Linked DNA regions of Schizosaccharomyces pombe. The protein of the gene in region 2 interacts with the protein of the main gene of each other region in a pairwise test. Each region holds a gene or a part of one and is shown on either strand. Other genes may lie near its edges. The genes, in order: arg7 and cwp1.

Region 1 (7,791 bases), on a different chromosome or scaffold from region 2:
ATAGAATAACGAAATTCGGGATTTTCAAAGTCGGTCAAATCCTTTTTGTCTTCCTCACTCAATTCATTTGATAAATATTCGTTTTTTTCATCCCTTCTGCGATTCTCTCGCACATTAACGGCATAAATAGCAATAATAATAAATATAGCAACGCAATAACAAACGACAAATGATACTTTAGCTCCTTGGTATTTTGGAGCTTGTGTAGACCTAAATGTTTGGGGGCCGACCATATTTCCAACGCAATATCCAATCATGGAAACAGCGCTCATAAAAACTTTTTTGGTGTGGCCTGCGCTATTAGACGAAATGCAGCTAAGGATGCAAATATATGGAATTGGTGAAATGCCAAACAACCAGTATCCTGCAAGTTGTGCATGTGTAGGTTTTGCAAATGCAATAAGTGATCCGGAAGTTAAGTTAATAGCCAGGCCAACCAAAGCAATATCCATTCGTCTATTCGTAAACTCTGGGATAAGGCCAAACAAAGTTAAGGCAGCAAACGAAATGGAGGAAGTGGGCATATTCATAAGCAATGCCTTACCTTTTACGTAGCCAAGATTCTTTAACATGATGCTACTAAAATTTGAAAGCCCACCATTAGGGATAGCAACGGCTATTTGTAGGAAAAAGTATAAGTACATACGTACATCTCGACAAGCTTCCAATATTTGGTATTTCTTAAACTTTTTGCTGCCAAGCCCTGCATGATCAGTGTCTAAACGCTTGAGGACAAGATCCTTTTCCTTTTCACTCAAGAACCAAGCTTTGGAGGGTTCATCGGGAATGTGAATAAATATGAAAACCCCGTTAATTATGGTAATCAATCCAGTGATAATAAATAAGATTCTCCAAGGGGACATGGTTAAATTGTTTTCAAGCTCTCGTTTATACAAGCCGTAAGACATACTTCCTCCAATAAGACCACCAAGTCCATTCCAGGCTACAAGGAATGCCATACGAAAAAATTGTTCTTCTTTTCTATACCATTGTGCAATAAACAAAACAAAAGCTGGCGTAATAACTGATTCCAATATACCCAACAAAGTACGAGTAGCGATATAGGAAGCATAAGAATGCACCAGGCAAGTCAAGGTCATTAATATACCCCAGGCCACAATGAAGGCAGACGTTACTTTGCTAAGAGGAAATTTTTGTAACAGAGTGGATAATGGTAACGAGAATACCATAAAACCAAGATAAAAAGACGTACCAACCCAATTGTATTGATTGCCCACCATATTTAAATCGGTGCGAATACCCATAATTGATGAATAATTACTGGTGGATTTGTCCATATATTGAAATGCTGAAATGAGGCAGAGAAGTGGCATAACCCATAAATCTGTCTTTAATTTGAGTTTTCGATTTAGCGATTTGTCAATAATGGGATGTTTCTCTGCAAAAATCACAGCAACATCCTCTTGGCTGTCTGATCCTTTTTCACCCAACTCCTTAATACTGTAATTTTCTTCTTCTGTCTTCTCCATGATGAGATTAGTAGTAATTGTTGTGAATGTAAGCACAATAATAAATATTTGAACTTTCCTTCGTCCTTTATATAATTGAAAGCGTCAAAGCATTATCATTGATACAAACCAGATAAGCTACAACTATGTTGATTTTAGCAGACAAAGGGCTGCAACAAGTCAACAAATTTGACAGATTAGTTTGCAAAATACTTATTTTACAAGTATCTACAGCATTTTGTCTCAGATTCAATTTCCAACTTGGTCTTCCGTGGGTAGAATAGGTTGAAATTTCGCATCAGGTATGCATACAATCAACATGAAAATCCCCAGATTTTCTTATTTTCTCATCCACGGATCTTACATCCGTGGATAGAAGTCGGAGTATGAAGGTGCCATTTTGGGGTGTACAACTTGCAACATTAATCTACCTTTTTTTCTCTAAAGATTACCACTATTGATTTAACGGACTAAGAAATTATAAAAATATTAAAGCCGTTAAAGAAAAGTAACTTTATATAACGATATATTTATTTTTTATAATTTTAAAAAGACTACTTAATAAAATGAAAATTTAAATTAAAAGAATTAATTCTCCTTTTTTTCATTGAGGCTTAAAAAATTTAACATAATTGGAATTCAATCAGCGTGATTTTGCTAATTAAGCATTGATCCTATTTGGTTATGTTTTGAATGAGTATTTAGACACTATATGAGTAAGATACACTTGGAATCATTTTTATAAAATATTTATCTCTTTTTTTATGAACCGTTAAGAGATGAAAAGGTCTTTTAATTATTTTTATTTGCATATTCTAATTATGTTCTAAGTAATACAGAAGACTCAAGAATTTTTAATTATATTTCATTTCCAAACGTGTCTCTCTGCATTGTTTTGCAAAATCATTTATTCACAACATCGAAAAAATGTGATTTTATGCAATTAGATTTTTAGTAACTTAATTAGGAAAATATCATACACCATTTTTTATATTTGCTTTTAGCACCACTTTAATTACAAGAGCTGAATACAGAGCTTGAAATCATAAATTGAATAGGTAATCGAAAAACCATTTAAGAGGAAGTTATTTGCCATAAATATAAAAGTACTATACCTTATTGTTATTGTGGATACCTCTTTCATGCAGCTCTTATAAAAATTCTTTAATTGCGTTAATTAAATATGCATGAAGAACCCATTTTACTAAATGTACAAAAAAACTAACAGAGAGAAAAGGTATTTTATTTATAGACAATTATAGAAAACCTGTTTATTAAATTAAAAAGAAAGACATAGTTTTTAAAGAATTGCTGATCGTATATGCTCGATTTGTTCTTGAACACAATGCTTAGCAGTACCACCAATTGAACATCTTTTTTCAACACTTTCTTCGTAATTAAAGACTTTTGAAACGTCTTCATCAAATAAAGGATGCAATGATTGCAAATCAGAAACTGATAACTTGTCGAGAGTAGTGTTTCTCTCTTCAGCCATGCGAACTGCGGATCCCGAAATATGATGAGTTTGGCGAAATGGAAGACCTTTACGAACAAGATACTCAGCCAAATCGGTAGCTAGTAAATCGGGGGTCAAGCTTTCGGCAATCTTTGTAGGATTGATGGTAAGGGTTGAGACAACGCCAGTCAAAATTTGCAAAGAGTCAGAGACGGTCTTAAAGGCATCAAATAGTGGTTCCTTGTCTTCTTGCAAATCTTTGTTATAGGTTGTAGGTGTGCCTTTAACAGTTATCATGAGGCCAATCATATCACCTAAAACACGACCGCTCTTACCCCGAAGTAGCTCTAAAGAATCAGGGTTCTTTTTTTGGGGCATAATACTACTTCCCGTAGAATACGCATCGGAGAGTGTGACGAATCCAAATTCCGAGCTCGAATATATGATAAGATCTTCAGCAAAGCGAGAAATGTGAAGCATTACCATGCCTGCCCAAAACATAAATTCGATGACAAAATCACGATCACCAACAGCATTCATGGAATTCATGATAATGCCTTCGAATCCAAGCTCTTTACGAAGGAACTCGCGATCGACGTTGAAAGGGTTGCCAGCTAAAGCACCAGCACCCAGCGGTAATTGACTTACACGAGTATACAGCTGACGAAGTCTGCCAAGGTCACCTAATAAAGGCAAGGCGTGAGACATGAGAAAATGGGACCAACGAACAGGCTGAGCCCTTTGTAAATGCGTATAACCTGACATTATTACATCAATCTCCATCTCAGCTCTGTTGGTAAAAACTTTAAGCAAGTTAATGACATAGACTTCAACCTCTTTGATTTTTCTGCATAGCCATAAACGCAAATCGGTGGTAACTTGGTCATTACGACTTCTGCCAGTATGTAGCTTGCCAGCAACATCACCGATTATCTCAGTTAATCGGCGCTCGTTTGCTGTGTGAACATCTTCGTCGGATGGTTCCAAAACGAATTGACCCGAATTCCATTCTCTTTGAATTTGTTCCAATCCTTTTAGGATGCTATTCAGCTCTTCTTCAGATATCACATTTTTCTGGCACAAGGCTTTTGCGTACGCCATGGAACCAATAACATCTTCTTCGCACATTTCCTTTCCACTATAGATGGATTTGTTGAATTCTGCCATCAGTGGATCAGTAGCTCCTGAAAATCTACCTCCCCATAGTTTTTTGCTTGATTTTTCTGCCATAGTGCCAAGATGCTTTTATTCAATATTATTTTCAGTCTACAAATGATGGTCTAATTTTCCTTTACTTATATAATAGCGTGAAGAAATGACTTTTTCTTCTCAGATATTCGCACTTATCATTTTAGCTTTTTTCTCTAGTTTAGATAACACTATACGAATATGGGTCAAAATAACATCCGTGGATAGCAAGTACTCAACAATCAAGCTCTTATTGAAAGTTGATCCACTGCTAAATAGCAAGTTATTTTACCAAATACTAGATAGTTAGTTTGGAAAACGCTTTGCCAAATGATCAATAGAGTCGGAATTTTTGTAGACGAATACCGAAATTGAAATTAGCCACCTAGAAGTTGAGTTTCATATTTTTCTTTTCTTTTTCTTTACTTTACATAGCAAATTCAAGTATTCAACACCATTTTGATGAAATTTCTTCCAAAAGGCTGTTTCGAAGTGAGGTGTGGAAGCATCCACTTACAAAATCAAAAACAGATGTTCGCTAGCAATGAAATTCCCAGACACATGCCTAATTTTTACAATAATGAATAAATAATACATTCTTTATTGTTTAAAAAGTTAAGTCATCTCAAGTTAAGTTGCATATCTTTATTCAGAGCAAATTACTCTAATAATAGGGAACAAATTAAAGTAGAAAATTGAGTTGTAATATATTACCATTTCTCATTAGTTATGGAATTTTTCATAATACATTTGCACATTGTTGAAATAATTTATTATACGAGCTATGCATTTGAAAAACCTACTCGTGCTAACCAGCATTACTTTCGACACACTAATGAAAGAATTAGCTACATTAGGATCTTGAGCTGTTGTCAAAATGCTTAACGTAAATTTAAAAGAAATATTTCAACTTGGTCAGACTATTGACGATCTAAGTAAAAATGCAAACACTGATCACGAAGCACATAATATTTAAGTACAAATAGTAAAAATCACAGGGTCAGTTCCTCTTGACAAATTTTTAAACAGTGTTAAGTGCAAGGCCGGCATACTTTTTATAAACATATTTGTCTCAAAATCTGAAACCTTCCTAAAAGTGATTATTAAGTAGAACACAATTTAAAATAATCTGCACTTTCAAAATTCATATATTTCCAAGGAAACAATATTTCTTTGACTTTTATAGATGATTCAAGGGCAGATTCGTACTCTGCTTTCGACATTAAAATGCTCATTTATGACTGATGTAAATCGCTTAATTCCCTCCTCAAAGTCCTCAAAGTCAGCAATTGAATATGCGAAACGGAAAAAGATCTTAGTACTACGTTCTGGATTTGCCATAAAAAACTGACCACAAACAGTTTTTACACCTTTTTCTACAAGCGCTAGGAATATTTCCATTTCAATTTGGGAAACTGACTTTTTCGTATCCGAAAAGCGGTAATGATTTAAGTTTAACTCAACCCACAAGAATAATCCAGCTCTTGGTACGTGATAAATACAAACAGAATTTGGTAGATACTTGTTTGCTACATTAAGGAATGCGTTTCGACGAACAGTATAAGAATATTGCAGCTCCTGTAACCATGCACAAAAGCCCTCTTGACCCCAATTATGCAGCATTGCATACAATACAGATTGGCAAATACCAGACGGGCTTTCCGTGCATACTTCTGCAATCCGTGTAATATGATCAATAAACATTGAATTTCCAGTAATATAGCCAAGGCGGGTTCCTGGAGCAATCAGTTTAGAGAACGAATCAAGTCGCAAAACTCGACCTTCTGTGTCTAAACTTAGCAATGAAGGGACCAAACTCTTTAAAAACGTTGACCCATCACATTTTTGCTGTGCAGGGTTTAAACTTCCGTTATAATCTTCCATTTGTAGAAAATAGTATGGCTCATCTTCAACGATGATGATATCGTATTTCCTTGCTAATGCTAAAAGCTTTTTGCGCCGACTTAATGACAAAGTAGAACCAGTAGGATTTTGACCAGTAGGAACTGTGTACAAGACATGAGGTCTAGGTCCCAGAGATATATCCCAGTCTCTCATAATTTCTTCAAGACTTTCAGGAAGCATACCTTCCGAATCCATATCAACAGATACAAATTGAACACCTAGGGCTCGCATTGCGGTGATGGCAGCAGGATAAGTGTACTTTTCTGTCAAGACATGATCCCCATAATTGACTAGCAGTCGTAAACAATATTCCAAACCACTTGTATTACCATTACTCATCTTAATATCCCAGTTTTCGTATCGGGGAGCATGAATCCGCCGAATGTGTTCCTTTATAAATCCCACCAATTCAGAAATTCCTTGGCATTGGCCATACTGCAAGGACTGAGAGAAATTTAAAAGACCCTCAGAAGGATCAGCTTTTATGTTAAATGTTACATTAACCTCTTTGGCGTATGTCCCATTTTCCTCCTTAAAGCAACCAAGTTGAGGAAACTTGATAGAAAGCTCACGGATAGCAAACTTGTTAGGATGAGGTAAACCTGAGGAAAAAGATATAGCGTCAATCCCTGTACTACTTTTAATTCTTCCTAACATTTGAAAAGGGCCTTTCTCACGAGCCTTGCTTTCTCTCGACAAATGATGGCTAAAATCCTCACTATTCCGGATCATATTGTCAAAAATATGCGATAGACTCAAAAGAAAAATTGAAGTAGTGATATGACAAGGAAGCCTTTATAAACTTCTTTGGCCAGTTTAATCATTCATTGATTACTGTCATATTTCACTTTGGGCGGTGGGAAATCATGATCAATCCATGGATATGCACGTCTACTGACTACGGTCCCATTTGGATACAATAGGAACAGATATGAGCATTTTTTGAGATTTCCGATTTGGAGCAAATTCCGTTCCACGGGTCAACTATGGAGAGGTTAAAGAAACGAGACTTTAATTTTTGTCATCTTACTATGCCCCAGCCGTGGAAGTCGGAATGATGATCCACGGATCTAAGATAACTAGTGATCGTCTTTGAAGCAAAAGTGTTTAAATACAAGTATTGGAAAATGTTGACAAAAGTTTTTGATTACATTTGCAATCGATTAAAATGGTGATATGAAAAAAAAAAACACAGAGAATAGTGTGCGCCTTGAAATATTTCAATAAGGAATATATGAGCTTGGTTCATTTTCTTTTCAATATGAAACAAATAAAAGTTTTAATCTACCACTAATAAATAAATTGCTTCTGTTGTAAGCAAATACTCAATGGCTGCATATGCTGAATTTTTTTTATTGTTTACGTTGAAACAACTCTTTGTAGTTGGTTCATTTTTTTTAAAACCTTACTGAGTACATGCGAAAATCCTTTTGACGATTCTCGAAATGTAGAAAAGTAATATTTATAATAAGTATTCAAAGAAAGAAGATTACACCAACAAACTCTCCAGTTCAAAAATGTTGGAACCGACAGAAGATTTAAGTTCTAAATAATGTTCTGCAGCATCAATACAATCCAAAGCAACGCGAGATAATTTGTCAGCAAACTCTCCGTTAATCTCCTTCATTTCGACAAAAAACCGATAGAGTGAATACATTCGATCCAAGTCCTCGATTTTTTCATCACTGGTACCTTTTTCCATTTTTAGGATATTGGAAAAAAGGATTTGAAAAGGTGTAAAAGGACAATAGAGAAACAACCATAAGTAACAAA
Region 2 (7,474 bases):
AAAACGAGTATCCTTATTTTCTTTATTTTAGGTATCGTTGATTTCTCATTTTATCATTAAAAAAGTAATGTGGAATTGCTATGTTCGTTGGAATCCACAAGGTATCGCAGCGTTCGTTATTATTACAAAATTGTATGTCTATTAATTTTATGTATTTTAGAAATTCTTAAACAGTATAGAATTAGTGCAAGAACAGATAAATCAGTCTTTTGGAGCAATGAGTTAATTTACAAGCGTTAAGCGACCATCATTGAAATTACACTTTTGCATAAACTATTCAAAAGAACTTTTCATTATCTTTTTTTTTTGATCTCTAAGTTCTAACAGAAATTAAATCTAAAAGTCATTCGTGAATTAGTTACGAAACTCTAATACAAGTCTACAGTTATGGCACCGTTCACTAATAAACCACTACTGAAATCGCTTTCCTACTAATAACTGAAAATCTCCAATTTTTGCCTTAAGAAATTTATTGGAAAGGATTTTTTGAACAAAATTTCTCAATACCAAATGATTTTAACTTTCAATCATGTGCAATCGTCAACCGAAAGCCGTTGACCTGCCTCCAAACTATTCTTGTCCACATCTGTTGTCTTTTCAGTCTGTCGAATTTAATACTAATCCTACGGCTTGTGATGATGTGTTTTGTAAAAGAATTGAGTCCGAAAAGAAGTACAACGACTTTTTGGAATCTCTTTTCAAAAAATATGGACGCGACACTTCTGATATAGCTGATGAAGTAGATCTTGCAACTGGTGAAATTATTGTTAATAATGGACATCTAGAAGCTTTAAAAACAAAAGATGATATATGGGATCCTACATTTAACAACCTTGAAATCTCAGCGTCAAATGGATACGAAAAAAAATTAGACTCAAGCATTGGCAACCCAGGGGAAAAAGCTGTTTCACCAGTCCATATAGAGGATTTTCAGTCTCCCCAGATCTATAAATTTAAAAATCTATCACTTCGTGATGAAATGGTGTCAGATTGTGTGTTTGCAGATGAAGTTCCTTTAGCTTCACTTTTTGTGGAAAATGTTTGTAATGAAACTATACCCTCTCAGTCATGCGTGAGACTAAAAATCAATGATAAAACAAGAAAAGTTGATGCTTCAGCTTTGGAAAAAAAATCTTGTCTGTTGCCAAACTCATCAGGAACATTAACAGATCAGCGTGGTTTGGATACAATCAAGCATAAAAGCATAGAACAAAATGAGATTTTGCACGTCATCTCTGATACTTTATCTTCACCGAGAAGAAGGAACCCTTTATTATCATCTCCTAAAACTCCTTTACGTAGATCTTTTTCTAAGTCAAAAGTCCGAAACTCCAATTCTACAAAACGAAGAAACTTTATTTCATTAATTTCAATGATATCCCCTCGACCTAATCTTTCTACCCATCATTTTAATCTTGGTTTTCAACCTTTAAGTCAACAAACTTCGTTCTCAGGAAGTAGCACTCAGAACCCTCATTCTTCCAGCACTTGTAAAAAAGCATTTTGTTTCCAATGCATTTCTGAGTCAAAAAAATGTTGATTCAGCTTTAAACCACTTATTCTCCCATCTTCTTCGCTTGCCATACCATGGCTTTTAATGACCTATTTCTTCGAACATATATTTATTTTTTGTTTTCATTTACAACAAATTGTCTTTCGAGTTATCATGTTACATTCGAATATATATTTTTTTACTAATATATTAATCATTCGTTGAGTTTTTACGTGATCTATGCTTTTGTAGTATGGCAAATGAGTACACATAATTGTTCTCCACTCTTCATGTTATAAGTAAAAATCGTAGTCATAAAGATATCTAGCCGAAATATCCATTCAGTGTGTTGAACAAAGATTATCTTTAAATATCGCTTAATGAGTACAATATTTCAATTTATAACACATGTACCTGTTTAAATGACTACTTACACCACTACAAATTTCTGTCATTGTGAATCATTATGGAGTCGAGTGTAAAATGTATGTTAAATGCCGCATTACTAAAGCTTTATCTATAAACTAACAATTAAAGATGCGCAGGAGTTCGTCCAACGGTATTACTCATCTCTTGATACGAACAGAAATGGGATCGCAGAATTTTACAGAGAAAATAGTTTGATCTTATGGAATGGAAAACCCATGCAAGTAACCGAATTTACCTCTATGATAGTTAATCTTCCATACTCCAAAACTAAAGTTGAGGATTTCGATAGTCAACAGGTCATGGGTAATGATATGAATATCATAATTGTTGTTTCAGGAACAATACGTTTCGATGGAAAAAAACCTCATGTATTTTCGTATGTCAGTTTTTATTGTATTTACCTTCTTGTACTAAGATCCTCTACTAACTTCCTTTAAGAGACAATATAGTTCTACAACAGGAAGAATCAAAGTATTATATTGCCAGTCAAAATTTTAGAATTATGAGTGAATAATACGTATCCAAAACAAAGATTTCATTTCGTTTAGAGTTTGTATTAATTTGCCGCAGCAAGCTTATCTGAGCGACACATTCCCTAATCCCTCATACTTCTTTAGAACACAAAATTAACCACCACCTTACAAATATGAAATATTGGAAGTATTTGTCTCAGCTGACTATCAGAAGGCCTCTTACATACAACAATGCTCTTCTGTATAGGAATAGGTTTCCTAGTATATTAACATGGAAGAGAAGTGCGACTACGCAACCTGACGACACTATTTTCAAGGATCCAGTAATGGATGAGCAAGTCCAGAAACTTGAAGAGAAAATGAGTTCATTAGTTGTTAATGATCCGGAACTTGCTCAAAAGGTTGGCCGTCTTCGTCAGTTTTTTGAGAAATACGGCCTTGAAGCTGGTTCAAAACCGTCACCTCTTACTATCCTAAAGATTACTCGTGATCCGGAATTCAAGCAGTTAGCTGAAACTATCACGGAGATATTTAAAAAATCTGGAATTCAAAATGATCCTGCGTATGTTTTTTTGAATGTATTCCATTGATTGTGCGAACACTAACATATCTATAGATTTTTGGAACTTGTTCGAAGAAACCTTAAGAAAGAAAAGTAAAAATATGCCTCTGACATTTTTTTTATTCTTTGTTTGGCCTAATAACCATTACTTGTTCACTATTATGTGAAACTTACAATTGGAGGAATGACTAATGTTATTGATTTCATAAACGATTCACTATACATCACAACTACTTTCTTAATTAGTAGGAATTTTAAACAAGATGCTTTATCAAAATATCAGTAAACCCAATTAGCATTCAAAGCATAGATTTAAGGATTGCTCCTTTGGGACATCCATGTCCATAAAGCGGCATGCGGTACGTCAACCTCATTTGCTAGTTTTTGATAAATCTCTTCAGACGACGAAGGCTCGTACATAGCTAAAAACTCTAAGAGTGGCTTGTGTAAAGCAGGCAAATTTTTTCGGAGATTAGCTATGAGATTATCAAGTTTTGAAGGTCCTGATTTGTCAAGTACACTGTAAAAAAGTTAATGAAGAATGTAATTAATGGAAATGAGAGATACTTACCCACACAAATAATTCCAAGCACTCTGATTGTCAGGAGCAAAAAGGATTTTGTCTTTCAGATAATTCAGTTCCTCTTCCAAAGACCAAGAAACCACCTTGGAGGTTTCAAACAAAACATAAAATCTATGATTCCAAGCCGAATTGTTATAAATGTCTTTTTCCAATAATTCGTTGGTTAACTTCAGCTCTTGAGAATAATCATTAAAATTTTGCAAGATCCAAACTCGGTAGGACCAGACATGATAATTTTTACTGTCAATTTCAAACATCTTTTTCGTAAACTCAAGTTCACGCTCATAATTCTTAGTCAAAGAAAGTATTTTTTGCCTATGATGCCAAACCTGGTAGTTTTTTTGAAAATCTTCGGCAATTTCATCGAGCCATTCTAATTCATTGTCTATGTAACTGGGCGTGTGGTTTAGGATTTGAAATCTATAAGCCCATACTGTATAATGAGCTGGATTATTCATAATCAAGAAACCTGTTAAATTAAGTGCTCTCAAGGAGTACTCCTTTTTAGCCATAATGGCACGAAAATAAGCCATTCCTTGTTCATATCCTGTCGTGTAGCAAATTTTCGCTAATGGGTTTTCGCCATCATCCTGAGGAATGGGTGTTAATGGTCCATATTCTGTAAAATCCAAAATTTCATTTAACTCGGGATCAATGGGATCCATTTCATTAATTTGGCATCCGTTGTACAATTCTCAACTCAAAGAAACAAATACTTAAAGGCCGAAAATTTAATTATAAGTGTTTTATTAAAAAGGATTGTCAGGTTTTTCTAAATTATCAACTCGAAAAACAATGAGTCTCTTTGTTTAGTGCGTACTATTGTTCAGGTGTGATGGTGGGTTAACTAAGGAGAGTAAGTAGATGAATAGTGAGTTAGGATTACCATGTTTACAATATGTGATTTATTTCAAACTTTTATCATAGTCTTTTATTAATTTTATTGTAGGCAACGGAGTATATTCATAAAACTTCAAACGTACAGGTTATATGAGTATCACCGACCAATTCGTGGTATTTCAGTATTGCCTATTAATTAAACCGGTGTTATATTTTCAGTTTGAGCACAATAAAAAAAACATCAAGTACATCAAGTAATTGCAAAACCCATCTAATTTTAAGTAGAGTATGAAATGTTGTGAGTTTATAATAATACCTAATTCATGTCCTGTCCGGATAGATGCGCTTTGGTCGTACAAAACGAATGACTAGTGATTACAAATTGCCTATGAGAAATCTGTATCTTCAGCATCCTAGCGATTAAAACTGATGAGGATTAAAGAGATTCATGCAAATTATTTGAACACCTATATAAAGCATTGAAGGCTTCTGGTGAACAACACGATATAGAAAAATATATTGATATGCGTTTCAATGATTATTTTAGTTTAAAACGAGAACCTAATCACCAGAGTCATGAAATGTCATTTGTTAGTATCTCCAAAAAAATATATAGCAATGCCGAAGCAAATTATTTCTTTATAATCTCCTGATCTACTCAATTTTTAATTTCTTAAGTTGAAATCTGACATTCCGATTATTTACATATACTTACAATGAAATGTTGCAACAATAATAGCATTTAAAGCATTTTAATATTTTTTAATTGATCCAAACCTTCCATTAATATTCAGTAAATTAAATTAACATCTTAAAAAGGGTTCGAAGCTGCTTTGAAAAGTCATGTCAAATTTATATTACTACTTACTTTTCCCTTACAGAATATATGACCAACCAGAATTTGCGCTAATAAAAATTTAATTAAAAGTAATTAAAACGTGTCTTCTAAGAAAGCAATGACTTCTAAATGTTTTCGACTTTGCTGGATTTTTCTAGATGGTTAATTATGCTTGACTTCATGCACTAGACGAAATTTAGATTTAGCTCATAATGTGCAACCTTCACCAACATAGATGACTGAAATTTTATTGAATTGAAAAACTCAAAAATTAACTGATCTTTATTTGTCGGTGTTTTTTAATTCAATTTTGAGAACGGGTTTGTGGGTTTGTACTTACCGAAATAATTTAGAACTAAAGGAAGTTACTACGGCAGTCTGTATTACCTCTAGGTTTTAGACTAAAACATCATAACAGATTTATTTAGATTTTTTTCTCATTTCAAACATTATTTATTACTTTTTGTTGTCTTTACATTATTTTGTTTTTAATTTACTACTCGCATTTCGCCCATGAAGCGTCAAAGACCACAAGACTCTATGATATCTGTCCCGTTGCAAAATGAAAACAGTACGACCACTCCAACTAAAGAAGTTAGTCATTTAAACTTTCCTTTGAAACGACCGCGATTGCATTCTTTTGTCCCAACTTCCAAACAAGCCGCTTTATCAGACATAACTCCAGACACGCCTCCTGCCTTCAAAACTCCTTACAGTAGTTTGCCTTACAATTTGGTTCCCCAGAATTCTAGTACTAGCAAAAAAAGACCAAGGGCAGAAGACCTGTTGGTTATTGAGCCGTCTCAAAATAGCCTTGTTCCTAGTACACAAAATAATGAGTGGAACGAAATTGCTCGAAAGAGAGTATCTTTAGAGTCCGATCATCCTGACAAATCGGGTCAAGTTATTGACCTTGCAACAGGGCAAATACTCGACAAGCAAACAGAAGATATCGATGATGATCGAAACAAGAGTGCCGTATCAAAATCCCTCGTTAGACATCCTCATCGCTTGAAGATGCTTCCTTTTGGTATTCAATCCGCACATCCTTATATATCTTCCTTGAATTCTAATTACCCAACGACTTGGCATTTTGCTTCACATTACTATCCTACAGATAGTAAACAACTAGTGAAGTATCACCCTACAGAAGTCCATCCTTCATGGACGGTTGAAGAACCAGTACATTATAATACCTACGATGGAGTCGTCAATGAACCGAATAGTTCGGTCATTATTGAAGAGCTTGATGATGACTATGATGAACTTAATGATCCTATGAATAACAACGATACCCCCATTACTAATTCCACTCATTCTGCTCAAATGTCTAATCTACCTACTCATGATAGCATGGATATTGACATGGGAGGTGCTGTCCCTTCGACATCTACATAAGTAATATATCTTATGTTCCTGTTAACAATTTTGAGTCCTTTATTATTATTTTTTTTTTTGCATCCCAAGTTCCAAATCTCATATCAAAAACCGTATCCCAAATTATTATTTATGTCCCTAATATAACCAAAATCACATGTGATCAATCTAAAAAATCTAGCTAGAAAAACTGTCATCAATAAATTTTTGTTTCTTCTAAATTTCTTTTTAAATCTTGAACAAAATGATAAAATTAACAATTCACCCAACGCCCATTAATCCGTTTTTGTATGATTTGCACGGCTGGTAGATTCCACGAAGGTGATCCTGTTCCAATATTGGCACTTAGAATAGGAATAACCCAGCACTCTCGTTTTGTTGCATTATCCAGGTACCGAATTGGTGGATATGAAAGGGGTTTCGAGTAAGACAAAAGAGTAGTATTTTTAGCAAGTCTAGCCAAATGTTCTGGGCTGATTTCAGTTAAAGGAGACATGTAAACACGACCACTTCTGCTTTCATGTAGACTAAGATAGACAACATATTCAGAATCAATATTATAAGTTCTATCAGGTACGAATTGAACAACCTCGGAACCAGACGGGAAAAGTGTAACATATCCACGCTTCTCTTTATCATATAGAGCAACTTGATCAATATATGCAGAAGCAATAAATTGTCTGAGTGCTTTAATTTGTACACTAGTTGGAGGCTTAAGCTGTAACTTGAAAAATTCTTTTTCGACTCTAACCATATATCTTTTTAGTAGACCAATAATTTGCTTACGAAGATTGGTGACTTCTTCCAATGCTTTTTCTCGCAGATAATTCTCTTTACAAAACTTTCTCTTATCAGAAGCATAGTCATACGCACACACAGC

Evidence for each region.
Region 1: the proteins of cwp1 (region 2) and arg7 interact in a two-hybrid assay, tested with the Schizosaccharomyces pombe proteins (one large-scale study listed by BioGRID).

Annotation. Positions count from the first base shown.
Region 1 is NC_003423.3:309,661-317,451, reverse strand, and holds arg7 (argininosuccinate lyase), read right to left. Parts: upstream 4,196-7,791; 5' UTR 4,156-4,195; coding exon 2,770-4,155; 3' UTR 2,691-2,769; downstream 1-2,690. Other genes in the region: dal52 (dipeptide transmembrane transporter), read right to left, coding at 1-1,490; SPOM_SPBC1773.13 (aromatic aminotransferase), read right to left, coding at 5,305-6,750; SPOM_SPBC1773.12 (transcription factor), read right to left, coding at 7,508-7,791.
Region 2 is NC_003424.3:1,861,405-1,868,878, forward strand, and holds cwp1 (geranylgeranyltransferase type 1 alpha subunit Cwp1), read right to left. Parts: upstream 4,368-7,474; 5' UTR 4,205-4,367; coding exon 3,528-4,204; intron 3,477-3,527; coding exon 3,269-3,476; 3' UTR 3,147-3,268; downstream 1-3,146. Other genes in the region: CENP-A histone chaperone Scm3, read left to right, coding at 530-1,540; mRNA export receptor Nxt1, read left to right, coding at 1,959-1,977, 2,030-2,358; protein dpc13, read left to right, coding at 2,568-2,956, 3,011-3,053; SPOM_SPAPB1A10.05 (uncharacterized protein), read left to right, coding at 5,731-6,615; dhx37 (ATP-dependent RNA helicase Dhr1), read right to left, coding at 6,848-7,474. UniProt on the Schizosaccharomyces pombe protein: Catalyzes the transfer of a farnesyl or geranyl-geranyl moiety from farnesyl or geranyl-geranyl diphosphate to a cysteine at the fourth position from the C-terminus of several proteins having the C-terminal sequence Cys-aliphatic-aliphatic-X.